Bombyx mori: one gene and its partner. The protein of the gene in region 1 interacts with the protein of each later gene in a biochemical or structural test. Links are inferred from orthologs where the notes say so. Each region holds a gene or a part of one and is shown on either strand. Other genes may lie near its edges.

Region 1 (4,869 bases):
CAATTCCCAGCTCTTCAGCTACATCGTAACTACTGATATGCCGGTCTTGCTCCACTTTTTCAAAAATGGCATCCATTTTACCCGTACCTAATAGGGCGACCAGAGCGACGTTGTCCGATTGCGCTGAACTAATTTTAAATGATGAAATATATGTTTTTTCTAATTGTCTCACAATTTACAGGAAAAGTCTGTCGCGGATCATTTCCCAAGTAAATACAAATTAATCATAAGTAATTAAATGTAATCAAGTTTTAGTTATAATTTTTTTTTTTGGTTGTCAATAATGTCAATGCACTGTCGATTGCACTTGAGATGACATCTGTCATGTACTTTTGTCAGTTTTTCAAGGTTTTTTATTGATGATCACTTTGTTGATGTAACTAAATAAATAAATTAATTAAAAACAAGTAGTGCCAACCCTAGCAAAATTCTCTATTAAACACTAATTTCGTCCCTATTAACCGCAATTTCCGGGTAAATAGGGATTACACCTATTTTTGCTTTTTTTGCTTAAGCTCAAATGCAAGTTGCATAGTTTTAAATTGGATAACAAAGATACCCCCAAGACTCAATCGTTTTGATCCTGATAATTTTAAACATCCTCCCCCCACTTTGAACAAATATTAATATATTTTATTATGTATTACTTAGACATTTTTGTCCACCTTGAGATTTCATTGTTCTTGTTACATGTCTGTGCAAAACCGACTTACTTATGTTAAATTCCTTAGCTATTTCAACTAAAGATTTATTCCTAATTTCATAGGCTTCTATTACTGTTTTTAATATTAATCATATCTCTTAGAAAGTTTTGCACTCTTTGATACGTACACGCGAAGCATATCTGAAAATAGAAAACAACACGTAGGTAACTGATAACATAAATATTGCCAAACAATAAATTAACACTACATTGATAACTTTGAATAAAAGTTCTAGACAAAAACATCATGAATAAACCAGATTCTTACCAACAAATTTAAGAAATATTGTAATAACTACACAACCCTACAAACCTGTACTTATTTATACGTAGTTCGTTTCCATTTCACTTAATCTTATCCCAACTGATTCCTTTTTCGTTGTTATTTGTACCTGAGACGTCCCCAATATCCCCAAAAACAACAGATTTTTACATGTATTTTTATTTTATCAAATACATTAAAACCAATAATAATTGAGACTTACCTTTATATATATGATGGTTCAAACACTAAATAAAGTGCCTTATTCACGATCCATCTTGCTGTACGTCCCGCCAAGGCCATGCACGATGCACGATGCATTTAGCGCTTTATTCACGATCCATCACGGCTGTACGTCAGCTCAAGGCCGCAATTAATAATAATTATCGACGTACGTCAAGCCTATTCATGATCCTTTTGCATCGTGCATCGTGCATGGCCTTGGCGGGACGTACAGCAAGATGGATCGTGAATAAGGCACTTTACGTTTATAAATCACAGTCGTTTTCTATTATTATCAAATAAATAAAAGAGAGCAAATTTTCCTGCACTAAAATAATTACCACCACAAGAAGTTCACTTGAAATGCGATTTTTTATAACTTAGCAGCTATTATCATGCATATTCAGAGTTGTTTTGTGAACTTTCAACATTCTACTATTAAACTACACAAAATGGAAGATTTTACAACGAATATAAAACTAATATTGAGCGTCGAAAGATTTTCCTGGTTTTTTCCCCATTCGCCTCTCAATTCCTAATCACCCCAAAAACGGTACAGAGAAATTCATAGTTCAATTGTAATGTACGGTACTCTGTGCAGTGTTTTTCGACTTGTATTTTTTATTCATTCATGCAGAATGTAATTTTTATGTACTAAATACGAAAAGTAAGTAATTTTGCTTTAATTTTTCACATATTTTCAGTAATGTAAATCCTTGAGCCATACTGAATAGTAATGGAAATGACAGCTACTTTGAATTATAAAATAAACCATTCCGGAAGACGACAATTACTATTTGTCATGTACTCATAGTAGTTTATAATACATTTTTGTTTAAAATGAACATTTTTGGATGTTTTCTTTATGTTAAATAGCTAATAAGTAACAAAAAACTTTTTTTTTAGACTACAAATGGTGCTAAAATTTTGGTAAAATGTCAGCAGAAAATTGCTTGGTTAAGGCAATATACTCTTTTAAAGGTAAAAACAATGATGAATTATGTTTCAAAAAAGGCGATATTATTACTGTCACGCAAAAGGAAGAAGGAGGATGGTGGGAAGGCACTCTGGGTGAAACTACAGGCTGGTTCCCAAGCAACTATGTTACTGAATATAAAGGTAATTCTGCATCTTTCTAATTATTAGATCATTAACGTTTGTCATATAATTGTACATCTTATGCTTCAAAGCCACAATACAATTATAAAACAATTTGATAGTTTTTAATCACATTTTCATTAAAAAATATTTAATACTTGAAAAATTCTGCTCACTCATAGTAATTTAAATGTATTTTAATATTATTATAAGTATATTTTATTAATAAACTATAATTTGGGATTTCTAGTATTAGGAAATTATTTGTATGGGAACAATAAACATATAACTTTCTTATGAATGTAAATGTCTTTAATTAAATCAAACAGATGCATCAGGTTCAGTGACAACATCACCTATACGAGCTGTGTCTGAGATACAGGCATTCCGAAATGTGGTGCTGAAAGACATAATAGATTCTGAAAAGGCCCATGTTGCAGAAATGCAGGGTCTTGTCACCAACTTCTTACATCCTCTGGAAAAAAGTGAAATGTAAATATGTACACCATTTTATATTTATCGTTGTTAATTAAAAAAAGACAAATAAATAAGAGTGAAATAAATGTCTGTGTACTGCTATTTGCATTTAAATAATTTGGATTGTTGGGTTATCAGAATAGTATTATAGTTAATACACAATGATGGAGAATTTTGAAATTATAGAGGCCTTAAAGATACGATGCTTGGTACTCTTGTATTGATTGATGTGACTATGCTGGTGTTAAAATTATGTACAGTCAACATAATGGTATACTCTTTATTTGTCATGGAGGTATCCTAGACCTCTTGATAATTATAACTGTTACACATTAGTGACCTCAATCTAATATAAACATGCAGCCTTCTGACTACCATACATGTTAAAAAGTAACAGGAACAATTGAAAAAAAAAACAAATTTTCCAGACTTTGTGTGGTTTTATTGAGTCATATTTCATTAAATTTAAAACAAGATAATAAAGCACAGATGGCAAACCATTAGGAACAGAGTCATGAAATGAAGTCTGACATACGCTAACAGCTATTTTTAGTTCATAGCTTTATATTTATCAAACTGTTCTGTTTTTTTCTGTACACTGAAGTAAGATATTGTTAAACATTAATTGGTTCACTTTGAACAATATGAAAAGTAGACCGGTTTGTATTGTGACTACCTTAACTGATGTTGATTTGTATCTTTTGACTGGGGACATGCTTGGGGATGAATACTTGGTTAATATTAGATACAATTTGTTGATCAGAGTGCCCTTAAATATTATCCAATGACTGGATGTTTGTTGCAAGATTCTGGCGAGCATGCTGAAGGCTGCATTTTGAATTTGACAGTTTCTTGCTTGGCAGTTCATAGAGCTTAATCTTCATAAGCTTACATAGCATAAGATATACATTTAATTCTCTTTTGATTGCAGGCTAACTAAAGATGAATTCAAACAATTGACCGGCAATATAAATGAGGTCTTGCAGATTCATGAACAGTTCTTAGGGCTGTTAGAAGAAAGTGCAACCAAAACAGGTCCAGATCAGAGAGTAGGAGGATTGTTTTTACAGTGGGCACCAAAAATTAAAACAGTACACCAAACTTACTGTGGTGGACATCCAAAGGCAGTGTGTATCCTTGATAAGTATAAGTACGTTATTTGAATGCCTTTAATATAATATAAACTTATCAACCCAAAAAGTTGAGTCAAAACAACACATGGGTACTTTGGATCATTTTATTAATATTCTGTCTTTATTAATCATGTTAGCTTCTATGTTGCTTTGCTGTTTCTGCAATTTCTTAAAAATTAGTAAATTCTCACAAATTAACTATATTTGCCCCATGTATCAATTGGGCTATGACAAGTGTAGTGCAAAAAACAATGGTAAATTGGTTAATATTATTTTAGGGAGGACTTAAACACGTGGATGGAAAATGCAGGTGCAGTGTGTCCAGGGGTCCTTGTTTTAACAGCTGGTCTTTCAAAGCCATTTAGACGTCTCGGCAAATATCCAGCTATGCTACAAGAATTGGCAAGACATGTCCACGAAGCCCACCCTGACCGGGGCGATACTCATCGTGCATCTGTTGTCTACAAAGATATTGCGGTAAAATTAATATAAACAAATTTTAAGTATTAAGTGCACCGAAGCACGTGCAAGCCGAGAACACTACAATTGTACGGCAGATAAAGTGTTTTAGGAGTGTATAAAAAAGTAAACTTGTAACACCCAATATTGTTGTAAGGGTGCAAGCAAAAATAGGCTTTCAGATCTCTTCAATTACAAACCATTGTACATGCAAATTACCTAATACAGCTGGATTATTCTATTTTTTTCCTATGATTCAGAGTGCTTGTGCGGCATTGCGACGTCAAAAGGAGTTAGAATTACAAGTTATAACCGGAGAAGTTCGTGGCTGGCCCGGGGGTGAACTAGCCTCATTGGGTGACGTGTTACATATGGGCAGCGTGGCAGTGGGCCCGTCCCATCAGGACCGCTACCTTGTACTCTTCCCATCAGCGCTGTTATTACTTTCAGTTAGCAAAAGAGTATCTGCATTTGTGTATGAGGTAATATTTAGTTAATAGCTTTAACTACAGAGT
Region 2 (4,859 bases), on another chromosome or scaffold:
CTCAGTGGGTCGCGTTTCCAATCCGGTGGTAGATTCTGCGAAGCACGACTCTTGCTAGGGTTCGTGTTAGCATCGTCGTCAGGTTTGAGCCCCGTGAGCTCACCTACTAGTTACGGTTACGCTGGAATAGCCTCTCTAGACTACCAGCTTAGGTAGGAAAAAAAAAAAAAACTTGATGACTAAAAAAAATTTTTATATTCAAAATTTTGCCGCCCTAAAAAATTGCCGTCCTGGGCACTGCCCCGACTGTCCCTAGTGTAAAAGTAAATCCACCGGAGTTAGTGATGCCAACCATCTGTGTAACGTCTGCCTAGTTAAGTTACTAATAACATAGATATTTGTACGCAATGACTTTATTTCATTTATATTTGTTTCTCTATTTATATTTGCTATTTCAGGAGCACTTACTTTCTAATTAACATATTTTTATTATTTGTCAATGGTACATCGAAGAGGGGACGATGCGGGTAGAGGCTAGTCAATTTAAAACAGTAGATCCCAGTGTTTGTCTACTGAAGAATAATAAACTAGAAAAAGGGTGCACAACTAAAATATTTTATTTTCTATCCATTTGTTTTTGCACATCTCCGGAGCCACTGAATGGATTTTCATGTAATTTCGATAGGTACACAGCCTAATTCGGAGCAGAATTTAGAATAAGGACACAGTCAATGCTTCGATAAAATCAACGTTATAAAAAAGCATATTTTTACCAGTTACCGAATTTACTTGAATAAATGAAAAGACTAAAGTAACCGTCTGTTACGTTTACTACTAACCTACTACCCAAACTACTAAACCGAAATTTACGAGATGCACTACAAATATAATTTGAAACCTGGGAAAGAATATAGGCTCAAGCCAAAAGGCTATTCGTAAAAAGATGGTCATAGTTAAGAACTTCAATTTCACCGGAATTGAGGTAGTTTAAAATATTTGGCTCACACTCTGTGCAAGGAGATATAATTAAAACAAAATACGTTAAAAAAATCCTTTAATTGAATCAAATTGTAGCATTACATATGCGCTATTTCTCATGACTTTTGAAATAGTTAACACACATCTAACACATACCAGCTCATATAATGTCGATACAGTATTAAGGACATGAATTCTAGATTTATACTTATTTGCAATATTTTCAAATTTATATAAATCACCACACTTGAAATAATTATATATCTTAAACATCCATGAAAAAAATCATTACAGTTTACATTTTGTTGCTATCAAGAGCGTTGTTTTTATTGATTTTCGATTAAGAGAATTTTTTATTTTCTTTCAGATAAAAAATCGGTGGATACATTTTACATATTTAAGAAGATGTAATTCCATTAACTACATACAAGTTTAAGTATCTAAATATTGCTCTTAACGAAATTCAGTAAAACAATCAAAATATTCCTTTATGCTGATAATATTAAGTCCAAGGTAAAGTTGGTGTAAAATAAGGAGAATAATTTGATCTTAAATTTATTTACTTCTCAATATACACCTATACATAACTAGTTACTGACACAATAATATTCAGTAAATACATTTTCAGTAGACATTTATGACAATGTTTTAGAAATGAATTCTGAATTGAATATAAAGTGGGAAATAAATACAACTATATTGAAAATTATGTTTACAATTATCAGATATTTGGTGCCATATGAATATGCGAATTGATTATTTAATGAAATGATACATTTTAATGATCTTAGCGCCAAAATACTTTTATGTCAAAATACTGTTGTTTGCACCTGGTACGGATGAGTGATTCCTCCAAATGTTGTTATTTGGTTTTTATATTAGCGTCTTCCATTGAGTATTACACAGTGCATTTAATTTCATATTAATAAGTCCTTGTGGTCACATTTAAATTCTATAAATTGGCATTCAGGGACTTTTACAAATATTTAATAATATTATTATTTTATCTGTGAGAATTTCACCTTCAAGCGTAATACTCTTGATTTGACAAGTGGTTAAATGTATTTTATATTGATTAGTATATTCATATTGCTCATTCAAGAAACCACAGTTCAGAGATCTCTTGTGACATGATAGTGAGAGATTCTCACAATATAATGTATTAAAAAACATGAATATATTTATTGCGGCGTTTACTACAAATTGCACTCCACATTATGAACTGAAACTAACAATATAGACTTTGTTAAATTAAAAGATAAAATATTGTATAAAGTGAATATATATATTTCAGTATAAAATACTAGTACTCTGTATCTGTATATTTATGATTATAATATATTTTATAATTGCAGTTGAAATGGTCCAAATGACCAAAAAAATAAAATTCTAGTTTACATGGTTAGTTCACCTGACAAGCTTGTTTTAATATGTTTATGTAAACATACCAAACTTATAAAATTAAACGCATAATATGGACGGCTGTCAGCCAAGACAGGCGTTTCAATTAATAGCAATTTCAATCATTTACACATATATTATTCAAATAGCATAATACTAACAAAAATGCATAGTTCGCACTGTGCATAGCAAATGTTGTGCAAATATCTCATTACAGTGATTGGTCTACATAGGCAGAACATGTCATAAGTTACAGAGTTAATAATGTCTGCCTTTCTAGTACAATGTAGGAAAAGGTTTATACACGACACTTGACTATCCACTGAAGTCTTCATAATAATTGCATAAACATAGGTACACATGACTTTATAATTGGTATAAATAAAAGTAATTTTTACAAAAGACAATGCTATAAAATCATCTTTAGTATTTAATTAATTGTTATAATAATAATAATGAATGGAAAACTGACAACCTGTACAGTTTACATACTTGGTGGCAAATATTCCAATACTCTGTAATATTCTTTTTTTTAATGATTATGGCATAATATTGGTATTATTATAGATATATTATAAAAATATGTTGAATATTACAGCGTTGCCCATGCAGGTGAACGGCGGGTAGGGCGAGGTCGTTTAACTTCTTACAAAAGGACACACTTCTTTTTCTTTGCTGGTTCCGGAGGCTCCAGTGCAGCAAGTATAGCCTCGTCGAACACGTTCTTTAAACCTTTCTGCAATTTATTTTATTTTATCCACACAATTGTATTGCCAACTTTTTAACTTGTATCGACAAATTCTGACAAAATGTATTGCTATAATGTATGTATGTATGTATTGCTAGAATGATCATCAAATTGATGCCTCCAATGAACACTACTCTAACTCCAAATTCGTAGGTTTACAGGAAGAGCATTTAAACAAAAAAAGCTGATAAAATCTTTATTATTGCAGATATATTTATGTTTTTTCTTGTGTAACTAGCTGATTTACTCTTGCTTCGATCCCCATCAATAATGATTTTGTAATACTTTTAAAATAGTGAAGCGATTTGCGTGAAAAACGAAAATTTCAAAATTTTGAGTTAGAGTAGTGTTCATTGGAGGCATCGAATATACTATCCACTTGTAGTGCTAAGCTTTAGGAGCGTGAACAGACCACACCAGAGCAATAGGTAGGACATAGATGAATATGATGTACTTTCCAAAGAAAATTATTGCTTACAGTGTATACTATATTTCATTTATGTAGAAAAGAAAAACTTAAAAGCTAAAACTTAAAAAACTTAAAATTTAATTTTTAAAATATTTGACAGTAAAATACTACATTTTCAATCATTTTCTTTTTATAACCCTGGAAATCTATAATTACTTAAGCAGTCTAGACATATTATATGTGCAACAGTACAGCATCGGAGTGGAGGCATCCACTATTTCTCTAATTACTTTCTTTGGATCTTTGTAGGTATATTACTTTTAAACAAACATCAGGTATGCAGGCATGAGCAGATATTATAAAATATTTTTACCATCAGAAATAATATTTTTTTGGGATATATTTTCATACCTGGGTAAGCGCTGAGCATTCTACATATTTGACAGCCTTAAGCTCTTTTGCCAATTTCTCTCCTTGTTCCAATGAAACCGGCTTCTGTTTTATTTTAGCAAGTTTCTCCATTGTAGCCGAATCATCGCGCAAGTCTATTTGCGTCCCAACCAACAAAAACGGTGTCTTCTGTTGATGATGAGTTATTTCAGGGACCCACTGGAAAGTCAAATACTCAGATTAGTTTCCATACTAGCTAAATCTTATTTACTAATTTTTACATCACTATCTTTGATTTAAGTCTATATCATGTATATAATGAATTATATAATAAATTACAATACTTTTTAATATACCTTTTCCTTTACATTTTCAAATGAACTAGGGCTCACAACACTGAAGCATACAAGGAAAACATCTGTTTGAGGATAACTCAGTGGTCTTAGCCTGTCATAATCTTCCTGACCTGAAATGAAGATGTATAATTTATAATGCATGTTAATTTTTCATACCAAAACAAATTTCCAATAAATAGTAAATTTTACCTGCAGTATCAAAAAGACCTAGAGTGTAAGGTTCACCTCCAATCATGACAGTGACTGCGTAGTTATCAAATACAGTTGGAACATACTCTGATGGAAATTTGTTAGTTGTATAGCTGATCAGAAGACATGTTTTACCAACAGCACCATCACCCACAACAACACATTTTATTGTCTGCATCTTTAAACAATTAGTTGTTTCTTCACAATTTGTACACCAAATTTTCTTTTATTATAGGGACTATTTGGTTCATAGCAAACTCTGATAGAAAGTTTCTGGAACAAAACAATTGGGGGTGTTTCAAAATAGGCATAAATTAATGTAATAGTAGAATAATAAATTAATAAATTATAAATATAAATCGGATGGTGGAATATCTGGGGTATACAGTGGCAGAGTAAGACACCCCATTTGAGTGTTTCAAAGTAAGTTTAAATGGATTTGGCAAGG

What was found. The genes of interacting proteins can lie anywhere in the genome.
Region 2: the proteins of rho guanine nucleotide exchange factor 7 (region 1) and cdc42 homolog form a complex in vitro, tested with the Homo sapiens proteins (2 studies listed by BioGRID). The link is inferred for Bombyx mori from reciprocal best matches to the Homo sapiens genes ARHGEF7 and CDC42.

What each region holds. Positions count from the first base shown.
Region 1 is NC_085110.1:9,317,996-9,322,864, reverse strand, and holds the start of rho guanine nucleotide exchange factor 7, read left to right. Parts: upstream 1-1,667; 5' UTR 1,668-1,854; intron 1,855-2,093; 5' UTR 2,094-2,122; coding exon 2,123-2,306; intron 2,307-2,614; coding exon 2,615-2,777; intron 2,778-3,693; coding exon 3,694-3,912; intron 3,913-4,173; coding exon 4,174-4,372; intron 4,373-4,614; coding exon 4,615-4,836; intron 4,837-4,869. UniProt on the Homo sapiens protein: Acts as a RAC1 guanine nucleotide exchange factor (GEF) and can induce membrane ruffling. Functions in cell migration, attachment and cell spreading. Promotes targeting of RAC1 to focal adhesions. May function as a positive regulator of apoptosis.
Region 2 is NC_085107.1:13,959,687-13,964,545, forward strand, and holds the end of cdc42 homolog, read right to left. Parts: intron 4,685-4,859; 5' UTR 4,590-4,684; coding exon 4,412-4,589; intron 4,333-4,411; coding exon 4,223-4,332; intron 4,086-4,222; coding exon 3,888-4,085; intron 3,056-3,887; coding exon 2,966-3,055; 3' UTR 982-2,965; downstream 1-981. UniProt on the Homo sapiens protein: Plasma membrane-associated small GTPase which cycles between an active GTP-bound and an inactive GDP-bound state. In active state binds to a variety of effector proteins to regulate cellular responses. Involved in epithelial cell polarization processes.